3 linked regions of the Oreochromis niloticus genome follow. The protein of the gene in region 2 interacts with the protein of the main gene of each other region in a pairwise test. Links are inferred from orthologs where the notes say so. Each region holds a gene or a part of one and is shown on either strand. Other genes may lie near its edges. The genes, in order: rpp30, hmg20a and brap.

Region 1 (8,011 bases), on a different chromosome or scaffold from region 2:
ACCTATCCCCACAGCTTGCGACCCTGAAAAGGATAAGCGGAAGCGAATGGATGGATGGATGGATGTTTTCCATTTTGTTTTAACTGAACTCGTAAAACCATTAAAAATTGCTGATTTTTGAATGGAGTCTGGTTTGGCTGTTGTTTGTTGTTTTGGGTGCAAATCTGATCACTTAAACTTGACTGACAGGATGTTTCACTGATAATAAAGTGACCATGAGAGGCTGAAGACATCAAACCCTCCTCAATGACAGGAGGAGGGCATCAGAGAAGAGGTGAGACTGGTTCAGGTGTTACTGAGAGACGAGATCAGAGAGGATAAGGACATTTACAGGAGGAAGCAGAACAGCATGAGAGAGCAGAGGAGGGTGAGGGCAGAGGTAAGGAGTGAATGTGTTGTTCACCAGATTTACACTGCAGGTAAAGCGCCTCCCGCTATAGCCTTACCTGCAGTCAGCCTGCAGTCCACAGCCATACCCCTCCCACACCTGTCACTTTCACTCACAACCAGGTTCAGAGACAAACGAGAAGACTCCACTCAGCCAGGTCTGCTGGACCAGCCGGCGAGGACCATCAGGCCGAGCCTCCTGGGTGATGAGCTAACAGCGATGCAGGTGGATGCTTCTCTGGTGTCCTGGATTGTTGTTACCTAACAGGAAGACCACAATGTGTGCGTCTTCCACAGTGTGTGTCTGACAAGGTGATCAGCAACACAGGGGCACCACAAGGGACCGTCCTCTCCCCCTCCACACCACAGACTTCAGCCACTGACCTCCATCTTCAGAAGATTCTGATGACTCTGCGGTGGTTGGATGCATCAGTGAGGGTGATGAGTCAGAGTACCGGGCTGTGGTCGACTCCTTTGTCACGTCACGCAGAATCATCTGCAGCTCAATGTGGCAAAGACCAAAGAACTGATTGTGGACTTTAGGAGGGCCAGGAAACCTGTGACCCCTGTTTCAATCCAGGATGAGGATGTTGTGGAGGACTATAAATACCTCAGAGTGCACATAGATAATAAACTGGACTGGGTTAAAAACACCACTGCCCTCTACAGGCAGTCCCGGAGTCGTCTCTGAGGTCCTTCAACATCTGTCGGACAATGCTCAGGAGTTTCTATGAGTCTGTTATGGTCAGTGCTATCCACTGTGCTGCTGCATGCTGGGACAGCAGGTTGAGGGTTGCTGATGCCAACAGACTCAATAAACTGATCACAAGGCCAGTAATGTTGTGGGGATGGAGCTGGACTCCCTTAGGGTGGTGTCTGAGAGATGGATGTTGTCCAAAATAAAGACAATACTGGACAATACCTCCCACCCACTCCATGACATGCTGGCCAATAGGGCTGGGCCATATGGCGGAAAAAGCATGGCGGCAACGGAGAATGAGAAGGGCGAAAGCGGATCGTTGAGTGAAACAGATGAACCAGAACTGGTTTGTAAAAATGCTGCAACGTCAGTGGTGTGGAACTGGTTTAGCTTTCGTCCGTCAGATACACAACAAAGCACTATTTTTGGTAGCGCATGCTAGCGGGCCGTCGTTATTGCCCTGTTTTTTGGAAAATACGGCACACTTAAAATCAATCCTTTGATTTTTCTGAAAATCGACAGTGCCCCTTATAATCTCGCGTTATGTATGAATTCTGGTTGTGCTTACTGACCTCGGCGGTACACGTGGTACACGGCGCTCGAAAATCTGTTAAATGTTTTAGTAGGACTTTGTTAAGCTACGAAGCCGCACCGCTTGATGGATTGTCGGAGCATTACGGCTATCGTAGGCAGGAGCCTGGCGGAGTGATACGTACTGTGCTTCAACATAATATTACCGTATTGTGTGTGTATAACCTCTTTTTAAGGTTTGTGGATATTATACATGGTTATGTTGAGGATATGTCGCCAGTTTCCACTAGAAATGCCTTTTGGTTAAACTTTTAGCAAGGAATTTGCATTTGCACTGTTAAATTTTTATATAACTTTAATGCACATAAAAAAACAGCTGCTTGTTTAAGTGAAAATACATTGATGGGGATTTTGTACTAATAAAGTTGCGGAGTTGTAAAGTATTTTGTCTAGTGTCAATTATATCGTCAGTTATATTGTTATCTCAAATTTTCAAATGTATATCGTGATAAATATTTTTGGTCATATCACCCTGCTCTACTGGCCAATCACAGGAGCACGCTCAGTGAGAGACTGAGATTACCCATGATGCACCACTGAACGACACCGGAAGTCATTCCTGCCCGTGTCCATCTCCCTGTATAACTCCTCCATCTAACACACTGTAAACACTGTAATAGTTAGAGCCTCACTATCTGCACACACAGAGGAACGAAGTCAGCAGGACAAGAGGGCAGCTCAGTGTTAACACTTATATATTTACTGTGTGTAATTGTTTATAGAGCTGTTTGTTCTAAGCTGTATTATGTCACTTAGTTCAGTGTGTTACGGCTCTGGCTTGGAACAACTGTGAACACATAATTAAAATCATCAGTCTCTGAGGAATACGAGAGTACAGACTTTTGTTTACATTTCTGCAAACCGCGGAGAAACCTTAAAATGACAGTTTTTTAAATGGAGTCTGGTGGAAAACTTCTTGCTTGCCCTCTGAGAGATCTGACCTGAGATGGTCCTGTAAGTGAAGTTTCAGCAGCAGCTCAGAGAGCAGGCACAAAGTTTTCCACCAGACTCCATTCAAAAAACAGTCATTTTTAAAGCTGCTGCTTCGGGAGCCAGCAGCGTTACGTCCCCGGGCTCAGCAGCGGCAGGCCGGCGCACAGAGCGTTGTCTGCGGCCGCGGACACTCACGGTGAGCCGCCGTCTCTACGACGCTGCGCAGGTCGCTCCTGTCCGGGAGAAACGGCACGTTCAGGTCCATAAACACCGCCATGATGCCTCCGTCCGCCGCTCCACCACGTGTGCGCAGCTGCAAAGACTGCTGGGAACAGCAGTCCTCACGTCACAGGCGGAAGTAGCATTAAAGTCGTTTTTACCTGTCTGAGGTGAAAACTGAATATGAAACCTTTATTTATTCAAACTGTGAAACACTGGAAATAAAGTTTTAACAGGCAGACTGATGGATGTTCAGCCCTGTCAGAGCCACGCCTGTCCACAGTACAATAATAACAGTCAAATAATGACGCGAACAGTGACGTCATATTTCAATTATATTCATTATATCAAATTAATGTTTTCTATCGTATAATTAATATAATATTATATTTTACACACAGAGTTTTATTTTTAAATACATTTACATTTCAGTTCTATCATAACATATATTTATAATATATAAGCGATAAATTACACGAATGAATGAATCATAATATAATTATAATTCCTGTAAGTGTGGCGTTTGTCCTGCAGGGGGCGGTAGTTTTCTTGCTGTTATTGTCGTGCAGCAACATGAAAATAAGAGCAGAAGAAGAAGAAGCAGTAGCGTCAGAAGCTCCACAGGAAGGAAAGAGACTCACACCAGACTCCGTTCAAAAAGTGGCTGATTTAAGGTCAGAGCTGCAGGAACTGTGGGTGTAACTCATTGACTGTAGAAAACATGGACGACGCCACAGCTCCCCAAAAATGAAGCCAAAACGTCTCTATCGCCCCCTGGTGTCTGGCTGCAGTATAGGTCATAAACCCCGCCTCCTCCATGTTAGCGGATGGGACTGGGGTCAGACTAAAATAAATTTATTCTCCTTAGATAATGTTTTTCCAAAGATTCTTTCTTTTGTTATCAATAGTTCTCATCATGCTGATTGATGTCCAAGGGGTCTCCTTTCCCATAAGTTTGATTCTAATTCCTACCGCGGCGATGTTAAATTGGGGTGAAACGTCATCATAGCAGCTTTGACTGGCAGCTGCAGTCACGGAGAAACTTGCGTATCTCTGTTCGGGAATAGCAGATAGAGCGTAGATTCTGAGAGGAGGGCCAGCGTTTACGCTACGAAAACACGACCGAGTGTTTTAACCTGACAGCCTGAGGTGTTCTTCAGTAAACTGGACTACCCGACAGAAGGACCCGAGGCCCGGCTGCACTTTTTCGGTAAGTTAATCGTGTTTGTAAGCTAATCCGTAACTACCGTCCTTAGCTATGTCCCGAGACCTAGCTAGCTAAAATGAGCACTCGGCTGTCAGGGTTCGTTTAGCTAATCTGTGCAGGTGAATGAATTTACTAAAGAAATCAAGAGAAACGTTCCGGGCTAATCAGTCACTAATTACTGTACTTTTATTACAAGTATTATACTGTAAAAGCATCAGGCTGCACCCTGCTGCAGCTCCTGTGCAGAACTGAATATTAAATATGTGCAAACAGCATGTTTTCAGTCTCTTGCCACATCTGTAAAGACAGTAACATCTTTTTTTAAAAGCTTGTACTTCAGTAACTCCTCATTAATCAGGAAATATGGATTAAAGTACTGTAGTGTACTGTAATACTGAAAAAAATGTAAGAGAAGAACTTCAGATCCTGAGTGTGTGAGGACAGAAGAATCAGCTTCATTTCAATTTTGAGGGATAAAATTTATATTTGAGTTTGATGGTTCTGTTGTCTTTGTGATTACAGGAGCTGCCCTCAGATTCAGACCTCAGCACCACCCAGTGACAGCAGACAGATCATCCAACATGTTAACTGCAAAATGAACTGATGAAAACAGTACAAAGGTTAAAGTACCACACGTGCTGTAGTGAAAGCTGCAGCTTTATTGATAAAGTTAAAGACAAAAAAACAAAAGGATTAATCACTCATGTAACTGTGTCACTATATATCAGCATTAACAGGACCTCAGTTTGTATCTCAGACCTGCACAGCTTCCGTTTTAAACACTTGATGTACTCAGCTGCATGAAGAGCATATGAGATTTTCTCTGGCACAATTAAATAAAATCTGATGAAGATCAAACATCATCACTTGTATGTTGAACTACAAACTTGTCATCTGGAATTCTTTCACAGTTTTTTGCAGATAATGTGTTATTTACCATAAAGTGATTCAGAGTTATTCATACCAGAGTAACCAGAGAGGATCATATATTTTTAAATATATAACTTTCTACAGGACTGAATATAATATCTTTATGTAAAAGTCTGGAGCCTCTGGGGAGTATCCGAGTATTTATAACATTACACAAACCAAAGGTCTCCATCACAGTGTTCATGAAATGCTGGGTTTATCCATCTCCTGGATCGGGCCTATGGAGGAGTGCTGAAGATTTCCCTGTGAGGGAGCTGCTGGTGAAGATCATGAGTCCTGCTTGATCAATGCGATGAGCTTCAGTCTTCCTGGTGTTTCTTAAATGAAGCCTCTTTCAGTAGGTCAACAGCACCTTTAGCACAGAACAGCTGTGATGAAAGAAAAGGAAGAAGTTTCTCCAAACCTCTGGACCCAGGAAACCCAGCTTGGTCCTGATGGTCTCCCTCACTAGTTTCTCCCCAGGGTGAATGTAGCTGTTGATATAATGTGGACTCTATTATTAAATGAAAAGAACAAATTAGACTACACTATTGAAACGTTCTGCTGATGTTTTTAAAGTCTCCATGTTACCAGGCTGTAGAGGGCTCTGAAGATTTAAACAGTTTTAGATCCATTACACTCACAGTCTTATGTTAAAATCTCAAAGGACAGCATTATATTTTTGATATTAACAGTAACTCTGGGCTTCTGTAGCGTGTGCAGATGATCTCATCGCTGTCTAAAAATGGATAACAAACATAAGAAGTGCTGAATCCTTCAATAACAGACTATTAGAGTATTAGGTGTGTAGCATCGCTAACTAGCTAACAACAAGCCTCCAACACAGTGCGTATGCTAGCGGCTAATCTAGCAAACGAATTAACAACAAAGTGATTTTAGAACTATAAGATGATAAGCTGTGCGTCTTTTTTTAATAACAGTGACATGGTTGTATTTACCTTAATTAAAGAGTCGTCAGTCGCGGTAAACCAGCAAAAAAACTTGAGCAGCCGGGCTACGTAAAAAGTGTAGGGGGGCGTGTTTGCGGTCATGTCCAGCGGGTGTGTGGGCGGGAGCGTTACACAGTCGCTCCACCTCAAGTCACTACTGCGCAGACTCTGGCTCCAAATTTGCAAGATGGCAGCCTCCACAAGCGGGATATTTTGGCTTCATTTTTGCACAATGGTAGGAGGCGGAGTCGCGTCGTCCATGTTTTCTACAGTCAATGGTGTAACTGCAGACGGTTACTGCAGGGTTCAAGGTGGAGGCTCCCTCTGCTGTGGGTGGGGTTAAAGGGCAGGTCACGTGGTGATTGGCTCCAGCAGATTCTTGTCCAGGCCGTGACCAACTGATCAGCTGACTTCAGCAGCTTTTACAACAGCTGATTATTGGCTGAATGGGTCTAATCGACCTTTGACCTCACTCATCTGTTTCCAAGGCAACTGACATTAAAACAAAATGCTCCTGTCCTTCCTGCACTGCATGCTGGGAGTGTGAGTGAGTTTGTTTGGGCTATATTTTCAGAAGCTTTACACCCTGTGGTTGTTTGTTGGTTGTTCGTTGGTTAAAGGTAAGATAAGTTTATTTCACTGGGTTGGAGTTTCAGTTAACAGTTGTAGTGTAGACGTGGGGTGAAGCAGGCTCTGTCAGCTGCTGGAGAACAGGTGGGCCACGAGAACATCACTTACGGCTCTCGGAGGAACAAGGCCGTAGTTGTCGTTCTCCGTGACGAATGGTTGGTCCACCTTCATGGTGAAAGGAGCATCGTTGACTTGTTTATGGACGCTTCACCTTTATTCATGCTTCAGCGCGAATCACCATGTCCGGTGATCTGATCCAAAAACAGCTGACCCGCTTTGGCAAGTTCGCCAGCGGGCTCGGGGTGGTTGGTCTCGGCTGTGATGACGGCAGGGTGCAGCACGTTCAGTCTGTACGGAGACAGGTGTGCGTTACCTGAGTGACCCTGCTGTATCATGTAAGGTTAAATATGAGAACGTGGTTTACACAGCTGGTAGTCTCGGTGCTGTGAGTGCGGCAACGTTGGCCATGAACGCTCATCAGGGCTGCACAATTAGAGGCTGCGGAGAGAAGCTGTGGCACGCAGCAGACAGGTAACACTGTCAGCAACGACCTACCTGTGGGGTCAGCCGGTTACCTATGTGATGCTGCTGCAGGTGAGCAGCAGGCCCAGCTCAGTGCACGAACAGGAACAAGTGATACAGGATTTTCAGGTCACAGGATGATGAACAGCAGTCATAAAGTCTGTGCTGAGCGTCTTTTTAACAAACTGCACAGTAACTCAAACAGATAAGCAGTAGCTCGGTTATAGGAGTAGGCGGGGACTGGACACAGACCAGAAACACGGCAGAGAACGAGCTCACTGATGTGTGGAGAAAATAAACCCAGGAATTAAAATATACTCATGAGTCAAAGTGACAGTTGTCACTGTAAAAGCAGCCAGCTTAGACGGGGTTTTAACAGCAGTGATAAGGTCAGCAGCATCACCTGTGGGCTTCATCATCGGACCATCGTGCAGCAGTAGCACCGCAGCTGTGCTCGCATTAACAGTTCAGTGTTCAGGATGAGATTTTCTGTTAAGCTTTCAGTCTTTTTTGGAGCCAGTGGGTGTCGAGGAAAATCCCTTGAAATCGTTAACTCAGTGGGAAATCAGGAAAACTTGAATGAGAATCTTTTGTCTACAAACAATCTATATCAGCTACAGGAGGGAACAGTGGACACTGGGAAATGTGTGTTTTTTTTCCTGCTTTTCCACCACTGCAGTGCTGCAGTAGAGGAGTGAACGTCTTTAACAGAGCTTCGTTACTCGGTGCTCTGCAGTCAAGGTGGTGCGGTGCTTTTGCAGCAGGTTCTCCGAGAGGCAGCTGGAGGTCCATGTGCAAGCCTCCACTGCAGAAACGCAGTGTGGCTCTGCACTGGGGGGGGTCCATGGGTCCACCCTGCAACATTAGTGGGGTGGATGTCCCAGCTACATCACTCCAACAGTGGTCGGCTGCGAATGCTCATATTCCCCTCCCAAATACAGCAGCACAGCGGCCTTTCCAGCT
Region 2 (7,121 bases):
TCATAAGACGATGCTCGTTTCTGCTATTCTTGTATTGCATTTGAGGGCATCAAGCTACGATCTGTTAGAAGCCGTCAGAATTTCTTTGTCAGCTCCAAACACACGGTTGCTATGGATTCTAAGGGAAGTTTTTCCCTAAGCCGTTTTTGTGCAAAGTGAAAAATTACATGATGCTTTGCTGGTCTGAGGTATTGTTAAATCTGGCAAGGGATATTCTGTGTTGGCAGGTTCCAGATGAATATCGCTTGCTTCTGCTCTCTTTATTTTCTTCCACTGCTTTCTCAAAAGCTGCACTCCATAGTTGGACGTGAGTGAAAACATAGAGATTTGTTTTTAATCCTTTTGCAGGTAATCTTAAAACAGATGGAAAGAAATGCCAACAGAAATGTTTGACACATGTCTCTCCGCCACTGTGGGCTCACTGTGTAATCCTGTCTCGAACTTCTCTGCTGACCTGCTTCTCCTCGGGGGGCAGCTTGCTCCACTCGTTGCCCAGCATCCTTGTAATCTCTGGAAAGGGCACGTCTGGACGCTCTGCCCGTAGCTGCTCCCGTCTGTCGTTCATGAAGCGAACGTAGCCCGTCAGGGGGGCCTTGGGAGCGTTGCTGTCCTTCATTGGCTTCTTCCTCTTCCTCCCCTTGGTCCAGCTGCCACGTCGGGGTTTCTGCGAGATAACGAAAACAAACATGTTTTAAAGGTTCACGTAGGAGTTCTACCCTGACGTGTACTGGCAAGACTTTCTTTCAGTGTGAACTGGAATTTTTATTAATTTATATATGTATTTTTTTTAAACGTGTCATTCGATATCTGTGTGTTCACCTCTTACCTCATCTCCGTTTCTCTGGCTGTTGTTGTCAGCATTGGCTGCAGGTGAGCCCGTCTGCTCATCCATGACTCTTACGACGGAAGATTAGATCTGGAGGGAAACACTAGATGTTAGAACAAAAAACATTTCACAGCAGAAACGGCCAATAAACTATTTTTAAAACATGAATATACGATCTCAAAAGGCCAATGTTTAGTTAACCTAAAGATTGTGCCATCTATGGCAGTCAGGTGAAAAACTAGGCCATAGATTGCTGCCCAAAGGTGGGTTAAGCATTTTGAGACTGATCGGCTTCTTGTCCAAACTCCACCCAGGCTTGGCTGCAAAACAGTCTCTTGGCCAGCCTCATTTCCTCTAATAGAAATGTCTTGCTGCTATCAATCACAATTGAGCAAGTAAATGAAAAAAGAAAAACATAACACATTCACTTCTCAAGCACTAACGCAGCCTATTTTTAACAGCAGCAGTGTGGCAGTATTGCCTTAAACTTGGAGATAAGAGAACACCACTGAACGTGCTAAAACACTCTCTCAATAAAAGCACACTCACTCACCAAATATCAGTGCTTTAAAAAATGAGATTAACTGGAATCGCCATATTTTTGGAGTCTCTAACCCACTTGAAAACACTGCAAAGCATCGGTGCAAAAAACCCCAAATGAATGGCAATAGCACCAAATTAAAACCTGTGCTGATTTGGGCAGCTGCAGCCCAGGTTGAGCTGTAAATATAGGAGCAACATTGTGCATTTTAACCTTTGACCTCTCCTTTGACAACATGGGAAATACACCTCTTTAGCCTGGATGTGGTTTCTGCCCTCTGCCATTAAATACTGTGGGAAAAGTCACAGAGGAATTAGTCAGTCTACCACAAAAAGCTCTTATGGAAAGCCCCCCCCAGAAAAGAGGGGTAAGCCAGGGTTTTCTTTGTTAGACTTTTTTTCAGACCCTGAAGAAGTGATAATAAAATCCAGTGATTCTGCAAACTTATCCCCCATCTGTCATCCAAGGAAGCTTATTTGATGTTACTTTAGGAGTTCTGGGTTAGGTTGTAAGACGCTGGGTTTGACTATGAAAAAAAAAACTCACTAAAAAGTAAAAACGAGCACAGAAAAGACTAAACAGATGCTCTGTGTAGCAGAAAAAGGCTATGCCACAGTGCCCTCTGCTGGACCTTAGCACATGATGCATGACTCAAATCTCTTTTCTCCAGATAAAATGGTCCACTATCACAATCTGTGAGATAAAATATGAGGTTTAATAGTTTCACTTTTTACACGGTGACATATTGAAGCAGTATGTGATCACCATAAGGCATATACCAGAGTGCGCTTTGTCCTTTATTATAGTATACAGCTTTACTTTGGTACAAGGAGGTATCTAGGCCAACTGATGTTTCTATATTTTACACAGCAGCAGCTATAAATTATTAGACACCGCAGGATGCTGTTAGGTTAGGTTTAGGAGCTCTCTGTCAGTCGTTACGACGTTTATGTATGTGTATGTGGGATCTTCTCTGTGTGATAATCAACCATTAGCGTTTAGCCATTAAAGGCCTAACCCCTGAAGTAGTATGTTTAAACAGTAACACGCTAGGCCAGATAGTGATTAGACTTACATTTAACTTATGTAGCTAGATGTTTATGTGGGCTATTATACTGATGTATCGCTAAAAATTAAATAAATAAATAATAATCCATTTGGCCAGCAGGAATAGCGAACTATACTGGCTGCTACATGATGCTAACATACACTTGCTAAGCAAAGCTAACTTCAACAGCTGCGACAGGCAAACCTCACTCTTGGGCTGTGTGTCAGCTGAATGTCAATCAATCGACATAAAAAAGGGAGACATATTCAAATGATAATTATCAGAAGTAACAAGCTAACACTAATATATTAAACTTCTTAGCTGATTGCGAAGTGTGCTCCTAGCTAGCATTAGCAAGCCATTAGCATGAAGATGGGTCATCGAAAGCCTTTGTTTTCATTTAACCTTGACATGTGATTTGATACATCAGGAATCTAAATATTTTATGTGGATATAACGGAAGCCATTGTGTGGAAACCAACCTTATATAACGCACCCTCTAGCTGGAGCTGCCCAGAATATTTTCCTAATCAAAACAATAAAAATGTCCACTCAGATAGAATCGCACCAGATAGACAGAAAGCATGGGGGCTCCTGATGTACTTAGTCCTACTACAGACGGTTTTCCCTACGCGTATGATTTGATGTTTCATATTATCAGTGCTTTTTTGGCAGTTATGAGAAAAGCAATGTATTTATAGCGCAATGCGACTTTTCTGAATATATATATATAATAGGCAATACATTTATACATTTGACTGTAACTGGGTGGTCTCTGATTCCACCCATGCAAAACAAGCACCAGAAAAAAACAGCATAAGAAACGAAAATTAGAAAATATTTTCTACGTGATGTCTTTAAAACCCCCAAAAGCTGATTTTCTTTGATTCTATACAGCGAACTGCTCTATGCTTTCTAATTCTTGGTCTCATTTTTCTTCGTGTACCCAACCAACCACCCTCATTTAGAGCGCTACCTCCCCCTACGGTTGAGTATAAGCATTACATGTCTTAAATGGATACGTTTTTCAAAGTCAAAATCTCTTGAGAAATTTCAAGCCTTAAGCCTTTCTAATCAAACACAGGAACAAGCTACAAACCAGAGCTTGTTAGAAGTATTTAATGGATGAGATGAAAATCTTTTTTCTGATTTGGGCTGCAGTTAGGAGTCTTTAATCTTTTTGTAATTTATAAGACAATCCACATTAATTCAAGTACCACTGTTATTTATTTTATTTAGCCTTTATTTAACTAGGAAATCCCTCGAGATTATTCTCTCTTTTGCAAGGGAGGCCTGTCCAAGATGGTACACCATTGCAAAATTACAAATTATAAATGAATTATAACTCAGTACACATAAGAGGAAATAAGCAGGTCAAAGTTAACATAACAGGAACATAATATAAAAATAGAATGAATAAATACATAGAGTCCAGCTTATGAATAACACTTGCACTCTTCAAATGCAGAAGACTTTATAATAGCGCTGAACTCTCCAAGGGAGACTAACACATTCAAAAAAAGAGAAGTTTGCACTACCAAGTTCAGAAGAAATCCTACAGAGGAGTGCAAATTAGTAGCTGATGTTTTAGGAGTTTACACAGATAAGAAAGGGTGTACAAATATACCAGTGCTGTTTACCAGCTTAATGAGGGACAAGAAACCAGATTATAAAATGATATTATTATGAAATGTAAAGTGCAGAGAAGGCAGCATGTATGTAAATGTGTGAAAGGTAAAGGTGAGCATAATCAAGAGAGTATAAGAATGCACAAGGTGCTCTCTAAAGCATAAATACCTAAATATTTATTGGTTGATACTCTTTCAATAAAGTCTATGCCTAGCAAATAAAAACAAACATTTTGTGAGAGATCTGGACGTGTTTTCTGGAAAGCAGCATTATGCAATGATGCAATGATAACTGTGGGTGGCTGTAGCTCATGAGGTAGAACAGATCACCAACTGATCGGAAGGTTAGTGGTTTCCTGGACTCCTGGATATCAAGTATCCTTGCTCTATCCTTGTTCTGAAGGATACTGTCAAGATATTAACCCCACATTGCTCTCCGATTCATCCATCAAAGTATGACTGTAGTTTAGAAGAAAGTGCTTGTGTGCCTGGGTGAATGTGGCATGTTGTACAGAGCGCTTTGAGTACTCCAAGAGAGTAGAAAAGTGCTATATAAGAATCAGTCCGTTTACCATCTGATCCAGACTGAAGCCAGCTGAGTAAAGTATTGTGTCACCTGCATAAAGTTCCACTTTAGCTTCCCAATGTTATTAATAAAAAACAGAAAATTAAACAGAGCCATTATCAAAACAAACTAAAACTGAACTTTAGGGGATTCCTTTTAAAAGTTTGACTTGTATCCATCTGTATAAACATAGTGTTAATACAGATGGCTGGTTCAAGTAGCTCCTGAGCTGAAAGCAACATCACTGAGCCTAACAACAGCTCGGTCTACAGAATCAATGCCTTTAGCATAACCCATTCATCTGTGCCGCCTCGATTAGCAACCGAGGCGGCACAGATGCTTCCTGTCCAAGGAATTAATGATATTAATATAATTTGTTACCAACCTATTTGTTGCTATGACCTAGTCTAAGGCCAGACTGGGTTTCACATACAATCTTATTGTCAACCAAGTATTCTTTCAACTGAGAGTTGCATCCACATTGAAAGTGTGGATGCAGGGGGATAATTGTTTAAATTTTAATAAGGGGCAAACATGGCCTGTATTTGTATAGCGCTTTACTAGTCTCTAAGGACCCCAAAGCGCTTCACACAACCAGTCATCCACCCATTCACACACTGGTGATGGCAAGCTACATTGTAGCCACAGCCACCCTGGGGCGCACTGACAGAGGCGAGGCTGCCGGACACTGGCGCCACCGGGCCACTGACCACCACCAGTAGGCAACGGGTGAAGACTGTCCAAGCCGGGGCTCGAACCGGCAACCTTCCGATTACAAGGCGAACTCCCAACTCTTGAGCCACGATCGCCCCGAGAGAGACATAGACTGCTTTCCAGGTATTATTATTTTCCAGGTATTATCATATTATTCTAGGGACTCAGATTAAAAACAGCCATAACAGGCTCAATAATAAAATCAGCTACATGCTTGAAAAGATAAGTATTCAGACTGTCAGGTCTAGATAACCTTTTTTGGATCAGTGGATTTCAAAGCTTTGCGAGTCACCACAGTCAAAACAGGTCTAAAGACAAAAGGGTTCTTTGAAAAGGCAAGATGACATTCAAATCAGAACACAGACACTTTGCCACATTTGTATTAAAAACAGAACTAGCTGTTCATTAAAATGTCCAACAATGTCAGCTTTACTCTTAATCTCAACTCATTTAATAAATATATATTCAGGCAGGACTGGAGTAGAACTGGGAACATGCCAGTAATTTTATCTGATTCCAAAATTTAGAGGGATTATTCAGGTTTTATGACATTGTGACTTTGACTTTTGAGTCTTAGACTTGAAAAAAGTTACATGTGAAGTTATTACATTACACTAACTGTTAATATAATTACTTTATAGATCAAGTAAAAATACCTGTTCCTCAAGATTGTTAAAAATACCTTTGAAAAGCAAAACAAGGTTGTGTTTGTTCTTTGTAACTAAGGGTGGATTTGAGTACACATCCACGTAGGTGTAGATAAAATCACAACTTTCTCTGTGGGTTAATGTGGGGTGTTCAAACAGTCTTGGTGTGAGAAACAGAACTAAAACCTTCGCTAAGATGCAAGATAAAAGCGTGTGCTTCCGAGAGGGAGAGCGAGACAGGGAAGGCTAATGCGCTAATTCTTAATTAACAGATCGTAAATCGACACCCAGGCAGGAGTAAACCAACTGTAGCTGCAGTCTAATTAAAACTTTGATTGTAATCTCACTCCAATTATCCTGAGGTAATCCAACCCAGTTCTTCGGCACAGATTGGGTGCATCAAGCCACCCGTTAGATTTTTAGAAAAGAGAGTCTTTATTTATTTATTTATATATTTATTTTACAATATCTTGTTCACACAATCACAACATCAAATTCCAGGCAATATGAGATCTCTAACATTTAAACACTATGAAGTTTAGAATCTATTTGCTGCTATTATTTCAAAAAGAAGTTTTCATATTAAACAGAGCTGCCTTGATTTCTAGTGTAGCTGTTGGTTATCCCGTTGTACCCACAGAGGTGCTGTAGCAGCAGTTACACTGACAAAGTGAGCTTGTCCTGGCAGGTTAAAAAGAGGAGTAACAGCTCTAAGTCAAGTGTCTTGTGGGTACATCTCATTCAGAGCCTGCTGTCTGTGGCAAAACTGACATTTTTGGGTTTTTCTGCAGTGGGATTTTTCCCTGCAGGAAAATATTGAACACTAGTGCAAAAACTCTAAGTCCATGCATCTCAAACCAAACTCTGACAAGCTACACTAAACTGGTCAATGCAACACGGCCAGAAAAGTTGTTTACCATATGAGGCTGTATTTTTTTTCTCCACTCTGGGATTTAAAATAATAATGACAATGAGCACACAAAAAGAACCTGATATTGGCGAGGTTGGAAAAAGCGTCCGGCAATAAAAATGGCAACTCTACCAGCAGATATTTCATATTCTAGGTCTCTAACAGTCATGAATTTTATAAGAGGTAGCCTTGCTATGTAGAATCGTGTTTGTCACTAATTGGCTGACTTGGAACACAAAAGT
Region 3 (7,130 bases), about 34 Mb from region 2:
CGATAAAGAAAGCATCAGACTTTTATCAGCTACATTTTAGCTGACAATGATCTGGTAAAAAGTGCCCAAATAATGATCCCTTATGTTCACCTCATCACATCTATCATAAACACACCAGATGAGACTCACTTGGTCTTGTAGAGGTGCATGATACCGTGAATGATCTCCACTGAGGGGTTCCCGCTGAAGAAAGAGATCTGGTCCGGCAGCTGCTTGGAGGGTGAGTCCAGAGCTGTGCCTGTCACAAACCTCCTGTCCTCTGCACCCTCCTGACTGTCTACACCAGTCTTTGCATCCTGAACTTCACTGTTTCGCTCCTCACGTCCACCTGTGTCTGAAAGAGAAATTCAGCAATTTAAATTATATATATTTTGAATGTGGATGAACAGACAAAACCAAACTTGAATTGGCTTACTTTCATTCCTGCTTACAAGAATTAAAAAAAACAAAATAAAACATTGGTCTATGAATATGTAAAATAACTCCCCAAAAGACTAATGTAATTAAATATATCCTAATTAAATCCATTTATCAGAACTGATTACATTTGATTCTCTAATTTGTGTCTCCTCATCTGTCCTCCACACGCCTGCCTGTGAGAGGAAAATCGATCTCAATGCACCATGCTAAAGGATGTCTTCATTCTTAGAACGCATCTACAGGACAGAGGAGAGAGGAGGCTTGCCAGACGATCATTTGGAGAAGTGTTTTTAACCTCCATGCATGAAAGAGCTGGTTCACAGCTAGAATAGACACGCAGGCCTATTCTACGCCTAAATATACCTAAATATTCTCATCTGAAATCTCTGAACAAAAGTAGACTGTGGAAAAAAAATACTTTGAAAATAATTTTGCTGAGCCAAATGTTCTAATTATTTAAAATGGCTTTAAAATTTGTCACTTCCTCAGCTCACATCTCTCAGAAGGAATGAAGTAAGATGTGAGTAGAGGCGAAAAGAGAAACTGAGGCTCTACAAACTAAGAAATGAGAAGACAAGAAAGAGGATGAATATGTATAAATGGCAAATTTTATTTATGGAGGCCAAAGGCGACTTAAATTACTTTGAACATGGCATGGTTGTTAGTGCCAGAAGGACTGGTATGAGTATTTTAGAAACTGATAATCCACTGGGATTTTCCAGCACATCCATCTCCACAGGCTACAATTCAGACAAAAGCCAAACAATTAGGGGATGTGAAAAATGTTGTCTGCTCTGATGAGTCTAGTTTTCTTCTGCAACATTTGGCTGGTAAGGTGAGAATTTCAAGCAAAAAAACATGAAAGTATGGATCCTGGCTTGCATCAATGGTTCAGATGGGTGGCAGAATAATACTGTGGGAGACAGTTTCTTGGGACATTTAGAACAGCGGTCCCCAACCCCCGGGCCTCGGACCGGTACCGGTCCGTGAGTTGTTTGGTACCAGGCCGCAAGAGATGAGGCTCCGGTGTGAAATGTATGGTTTTCAGGGTTTTTATCATTAACTCGGTTTCCCTGGGTCTTTTCCCGTGTTGTAGTTGTGTGTCTTATTTTGAAAGAAACATTTATGCGTTACCATAGTGACCAGAGAACATTAAGGACCAGAGAGGAGGATGTTACTCTCAATGTCGTTGGCGCATTTCAGGAAGACGCTGCTAATAAAGTTACACAATTACATAGTGAATTTGCGTTTATTATTATATTTATAAAATACCACAGTTTTTGTCTTGGTCGTATCATTTTATTTTGTTGTATTTATCCGCGACACCTTAAAGGACAGCACACAACCGGTTCATGGCGCAAAAAAGGTTGGGGACTGCTGCAATACAATATGTTTGGGATGTTGTGGAACGGGAGATATGTGTCACAAATGCGTAGCTGACAAATCTACAAAGCATCATATAGACCAAAAACTTTTTCATTTCCAGCACCTTGTTAGCCCTGTGCAATGAAGAATTAAGGCATTTCTGGATGCAAAAGGGGCCTGACATAGTAGGGGTAACCTAACAAAATGGCCAGAAAGTAATGTGTTTTTTATACACAGTCACCTGATGACCAAATATGGAAAAGAGTGTGTCAGTATTTTACACGTTCATTTTCTTCCCTGTTATTTCCCACTTGCCTGGCTTTTTAGAAAGATTATTTACTAACCATGCAAACGTTGAGATTAATAGTTATTAAGATGCTGAATTAGGTTCAGTGTGATGAAAACTTTGATCCGAAGACAACCTTCCCCAAAGGACAGTGAAGTATTGCTCTTACAGTTGACTTTATGCTTTTCATATTTTATAGGTACACTTAAACATCAGGAAAATTCTTACTTGGGTTGGGCTCAAAGGTCTCTATCACCATGTCCCCCATGGCTCTGCTGCCGATGTGCTGGTGCAGCACAGCTGATCTTTCCAGGTCGGTTTTTCCACTCAGACTGTGTTTGGCTAAACCCAGAGCTTTCTCCTGTAGCTCCTCCTCTGACATGCCTTCAACTGCACACCAGAGGAACAGAGTCAGGCCATAGTTCTAATGAAGCAACTCGTTAGTTTGAAATTACCTTGTGAAAACAGTAAAACAACTAGCAGTGGACAAATGGGTCTTCACGCCCACTGTTGGTTAGCTGTTTAACTTTCAGCAGATGTTTGAAAATTAAGAGAATAAAACTCACCAGCGCAGTACTGGAAACCTTGTGGAAAAGGTGACTGGTCGGCTAACTCCAGACGAATAACGACCAGTGACACACTCATGTGTTATAACTGGGGCTGCCACTTAACACAGAACAAAACAAGCCGCTGACAACTGAGCTAAAACAGCTAGCACGTAGAGCTAGATGGATGACTGGCAAGATATTCAGTTCGTGTCTAATTACAGCAAGCAGACAAATACAGCAGAAGCAAAGAGCTTTCAGTTTAGCTTTAAAGCTTTCATGTTATGCACACTGTTTTTTCTTTCTTTTCCGCGCATAAAAATACAAATCAGATTTGTTTTGAAATCTAATACAAGCTAGCTGTGTCGAACCACTTCCCCTTCTTCTTCTTCGTCTTCTTCAGTTTTTTCATCTTTAATTTTAGTAAGGCAGAGTAGACGCTACAGCGGTGCATTACTGCCCTCTGCTGTTTTATTTATTCTTGTTCCTTTTTATATACGGATGGTGTGACAGAAAAAGATACTAAGGACAGATGGAGGTAGATATTTTGCTGAGGCGACCCCTAAAGAGAGCAGCCAAAAGAAGAAAAAGATGATGATGACGACTTTAACAGGAAAAGGTGTTTTTCCTTGTATTGCAAGGCAAAATCTCCCACATTATTTCTCCCTTTGTCATAGCACATTGACATTTTTATGACTGACTTACTCATGACAGAAGTGCATTCTAATTATAGAACAGTCTCGTTTATTTCCTTACAAGAAACCTTCTTTGACAAGTAAACACATATGCTGGTCTTCAGATAAAACCAGCCTCAGAACCTCCTTAGTGACTTCTGAATAATAAGTATGCCCGCCAAAATATGAATATTCAATTTTACCTTGAAATGTTCTTAATATCTTCCACCAATCAAAAGGCCCCCAAAATGTCCATCATCTTCATTTTAATAACTGATAGCTGATATGGAGTTCAAATGCCACATTCTCTGTCTCCACACTCTTGGATGTTCATCATCATCTTATTTTGGCTGCTCCCTTAAGGCAGGGGTCTGCAACCTTTAACACCCAAAGAGCCACTTGGACCTGGTTTCCACGCAAAAGAAAACACTGGGAGCCGCAAATACTTTTTGAAATCTAAAATGAAGATAACACTGTATATATTGGGGGGGTTTTTTTACCTTTATGCTTTGTGTGAACAACTAAAGTAAGTAAGTAAAGTTTATTTATTAAGCGCTTTTCACAGACAGGCAGTCACAAAGCGCTGTACACAAATATTAAAATAAACAATACAATCAATAGACATTATACACAATGTAAAATATCAAATGTAAATAATGTAAAGAATATAAAATACGTAGATCAACAAAAGGTTTGTTTGAACAGAAAAGTTTTTAACTGCTTTTTAAAAGAATCCACAGAGCAACTAAGGTGTGTTGCTTATGAAATCCCATGAAGTGCTACAGAGAAAATTAAATTTTATTTAAGTAAATAACACATTTTAAACTCTTAAAGAAATATAACAAAAGGAAAGAAACCCAGCTGAACTAAAATGATCCATGTAGCAAACAAAAACTGTTGTGAGCCGCCACCCTTATATTGCCTTTGGGCTTTTGGAGCCTTGACCTGACTTTTAAAAAGTAATTAGGAAAAAAAGCTCTATGCTGCTAAAAAAAATTAGATATTTGCAAAATTCTGCCTAAACATGTTTTACCTGGTTAATGTGTGTGGTGGGGCGTGGTCTGCAGTGCCGCTGCATGGGAGTCGGACGCACCTGAGCGGCACCCGCAATCACGCCTCGCCGCCCTAAAGCCTGTGCTCTCTCTGCTGTTGTGTTGTCGGGCTGTGAGCTGAAAAGCTACAGCCGGCTGTATGCGTACAGCAACCGTGTGTGAAAAGTGGTCAATAAAGAGATGCTGAAAAGCATGTTCATGCAAACATCGTCGAGTCTGCCGTGATATGTTTACAATAAGACTTATGGTCCCGAACCTCTGCGCACAGCGTCTGCAAATCGGGGCTTTCATCTTTACGCAGGACTGTAAGCTGTCATCTGTGAGGCGTGAGCGGTGTTTGTTTTTAACATAGTTCACGGTGGAGAACAGCTGCTGACATAATGTGGATCCAGATCCATAATTGGCCTACCTGGTGTCGAAAGTCTCGATAAATGCACGGCGTTTTGGCGGGTACACCGGCTTCTGCGAGTGTGACGCTTATTTTGAGCGATGAAAAAATAATAAGATATAATTTTATTTTTACATTTCAAAATCACAATAATCTTCCAATTTAGAAGTACAAGTTAAAAAAAGAACTAAACACAAATAAAATACACTTTAGCTAAATACTTCTAATTTATTTTCCCAAACCACCCGGAGCCGCAAAATAAAGACTAAATAGCCGCATGCGGCTCCGGAGCCGCGGGTTGCCGACCCCTACTTTAAGGTGTCACCACAGTGGATTTTCTGCCTTCTCTCCAGTTTTGTTCATCATCTTGTGTCATACAAAATGTTCCATTACACTCTTCATCCTGGGGTTGAGGTCCTTTGTATGAGTGGTTCTTATAATTTGTTTAAAAATTCTTTTGTTTTCAGTGTTTCATCCAAACTGACTGTTGCCTGTGTGTATAGGAAACTTCATGATTTGGGTTTAATCACCATGGACTGACTGACTAATGCACTTAAGGGAAGACATTTAAAGAACATCAATTTCCTGTACTCGTATTTTGAGTTTATTTCCAAAGTTTCAGTTCATTGTGTCTGAAACAAGCTGGTGTAGCTCCCCTCCTTTTAAAGCTAAACTTCTTCTGGTTGGCTGGTCCTGTTAAACAGCATCTGTGGGGATATCTGTAGGACTAGAATTTAGAAAAGTTGTCCAAATCTAAAGCCGACTTTTACTTCTTCTAGTGTTGATAATAACGGAAACATAAAATACAGCAAAATCCTCACATTTACCTTGTTTTATTTAAAAAAAGCTTTGACATTCCAGTGTTTCTGTTTTCCATTTTCTAACAAAAGAGGGTGGCAAGATGACACTCCAGATTGTCAACCATTATTCTCAACACATGTAATCAGATCACAGACACCTTCTGTCCAACCACTCAAACAGATGGGCTTGACTCTTTAAAGAAAAAGAAAAAGAAAAAAAAAGGCATTTATTAGCAGATGTGTATGCAACTGTATGCATATTCAGGACTAACAGGAAGGGGAAGAGTTTGTCATTTTCTCACATATTCACATTGCTATGCCAAATTCTTACAATAGTATAAATAAAACTGCACACAACCTGCAGTGCCATCAGTGCCCCTTGGTATTTGTAAACTATGCCTCCATTTGCTTCTTTCCTCCACCTCCTGTTTACTGATGATAGCACAAGATGCTGATTTTGCACAAATTGGGAAGATGCAGCAGCTGATGACACCATTTTGGTTCACGAGTCTTTTAGTAGGGGGAGGAAGGAAGATGAGGGAATAAAGCAGGAATGACAAAACCATTTTAACAGGACAAATCTCATAGCATCTACTGCACCTGCTTTTAAAAACACACTAAAGTCCTCGCTCACACACAGTACTTCAAAAAAAGGCTGCCTCAGCTATTTACAATTAGGTCCAATGTCCGCCTGTGAAACACACCTGAGACAGAAGAGTTGTCCCAGGACAGTTACTATGAAGCTGCATGTTGGGCTGGACATATAATCTGGTCTAGTATGAACATCAGTATATTTAGTCTAGTCACAGCCTCCTTTGCATTTATCTTTATAACTGTCACTTTTTCCTTTTTCCTTCAGCAACGCAAATTCAAGCAGTTGCATATGCACAGCCTCAACAGAAAGCATGTTTTTGGTGAACATTCATGTTATGATAGTCATAGATGGTCTCTTAAATAATTCTAATCATTCCTGTCTCTAAAGGTTCTGAAGCCTGATTTCTTCTTTGTGCTGGAACAACCTGATTCCACAAGACCTTGTTTACAAGCACCACTTCCACTAATGGTGCCACTAGTATTAAAAAACAAAAAACAAAACAAACAAACAAAAAGCGGCAGACAATAACAATCCCCCCCCCGCAAAAAAAAGAAAAAACCCAACCCTGGTTAAGTAACTCATTCCAACATTGCTCTTTATAATACTGCAACTACAGAGGTGGTTCCACTTTTAGTGCTAAAGCCACACACACAGGGTACACGAAGCAAAGAAATTAATTTTTTTTTTTTTTTTTTTTAAATGACAATGACAATAATTTGTGTATGGGGAAACATCAGTCTGAAGGCTTCCTGCAGGCAGTCAGGCATCCAAAGAGATACAAAGAGTTCATGAGTTCAATGTAAAATTGTGCCCATTTGCTCTCCAATGTGCTGGAAAAGCAATCCTTCAACTGCGTTTTTCTTTTTTTGTAAATCACCAGAAAATAATAAAGTCAACAATAATAAAAAGGAAACATAACTGACCAACACACAGATAGTGGTTTATTGTGTCTTATATTCTCATTTAGTCACGGAGTTGTGGTTGTTGCTCTTTATTATGTACAAT

The links.
Region 1: the proteins of hmg20a (region 2) and rpp30 interact in binary tests that used the Homo sapiens proteins (3 or more experiments, as listed by UniProt). The two-hybrid records come from large-scale screens. The link is inferred for Oreochromis niloticus from reciprocal best matches to the Homo sapiens genes HMG20A and RPP30.
Region 3: the proteins of hmg20a (region 2) and brap interact in a two-hybrid assay, tested with the Homo sapiens proteins (2 studies listed by BioGRID and IntAct). The link is inferred for Oreochromis niloticus from reciprocal best matches to the Homo sapiens genes HMG20A and BRAP.

Annotation. Positions count from the first base shown.
Region 1 is NC_031973.2:2,529,943-2,537,953, reverse strand, and holds the start of rpp30 (ribonuclease P protein subunit p30), read right to left. Parts: upstream 3,016-8,011; 5' UTR 2,889-3,015; coding exon 2,807-2,888; intron 1-2,806. Other genes in the region: nudt13 (NAD(P)H pyrophosphatase NUDT13, mitochondrial), read left to right, coding at 3,404-3,504. UniProt on the Homo sapiens protein: Component of ribonuclease P, a ribonucleoprotein complex that generates mature tRNA molecules by cleaving their 5'-ends. Also a component of the MRP ribonuclease complex, which cleaves pre-rRNA sequences.
Region 2 is NC_031972.2:45,102,440-45,109,560, reverse strand, and holds the start of hmg20a (high mobility group protein 20A), read right to left. Parts: upstream 3,052-7,121; 5' UTR 2,898-3,051; intron 917-2,897; 5' UTR 893-916; coding exon 827-892; intron 665-826; coding exon 455-664; intron 1-454. UniProt on the Homo sapiens protein: Plays a role in neuronal differentiation as chromatin-associated protein. Acts as inhibitor of HMG20B. Overcomes the repressive effects of the neuronal silencer REST and induces the activation of neuronal-specific genes.
Region 3 is NC_031972.2:11,019,231-11,026,360, forward strand, and holds the start of brap (BRCA1-associated protein), read right to left. Parts: upstream 3,032-7,130; 5' UTR 2,717-3,031; coding exon 2,638-2,716; intron 2,462-2,637; coding exon 2,300-2,461; intron 335-2,299; coding exon 130-334; intron 1-129. UniProt on the Homo sapiens protein: Negatively regulates MAP kinase activation by limiting the formation of Raf/MEK complexes probably by inactivation of the KSR1 scaffold protein.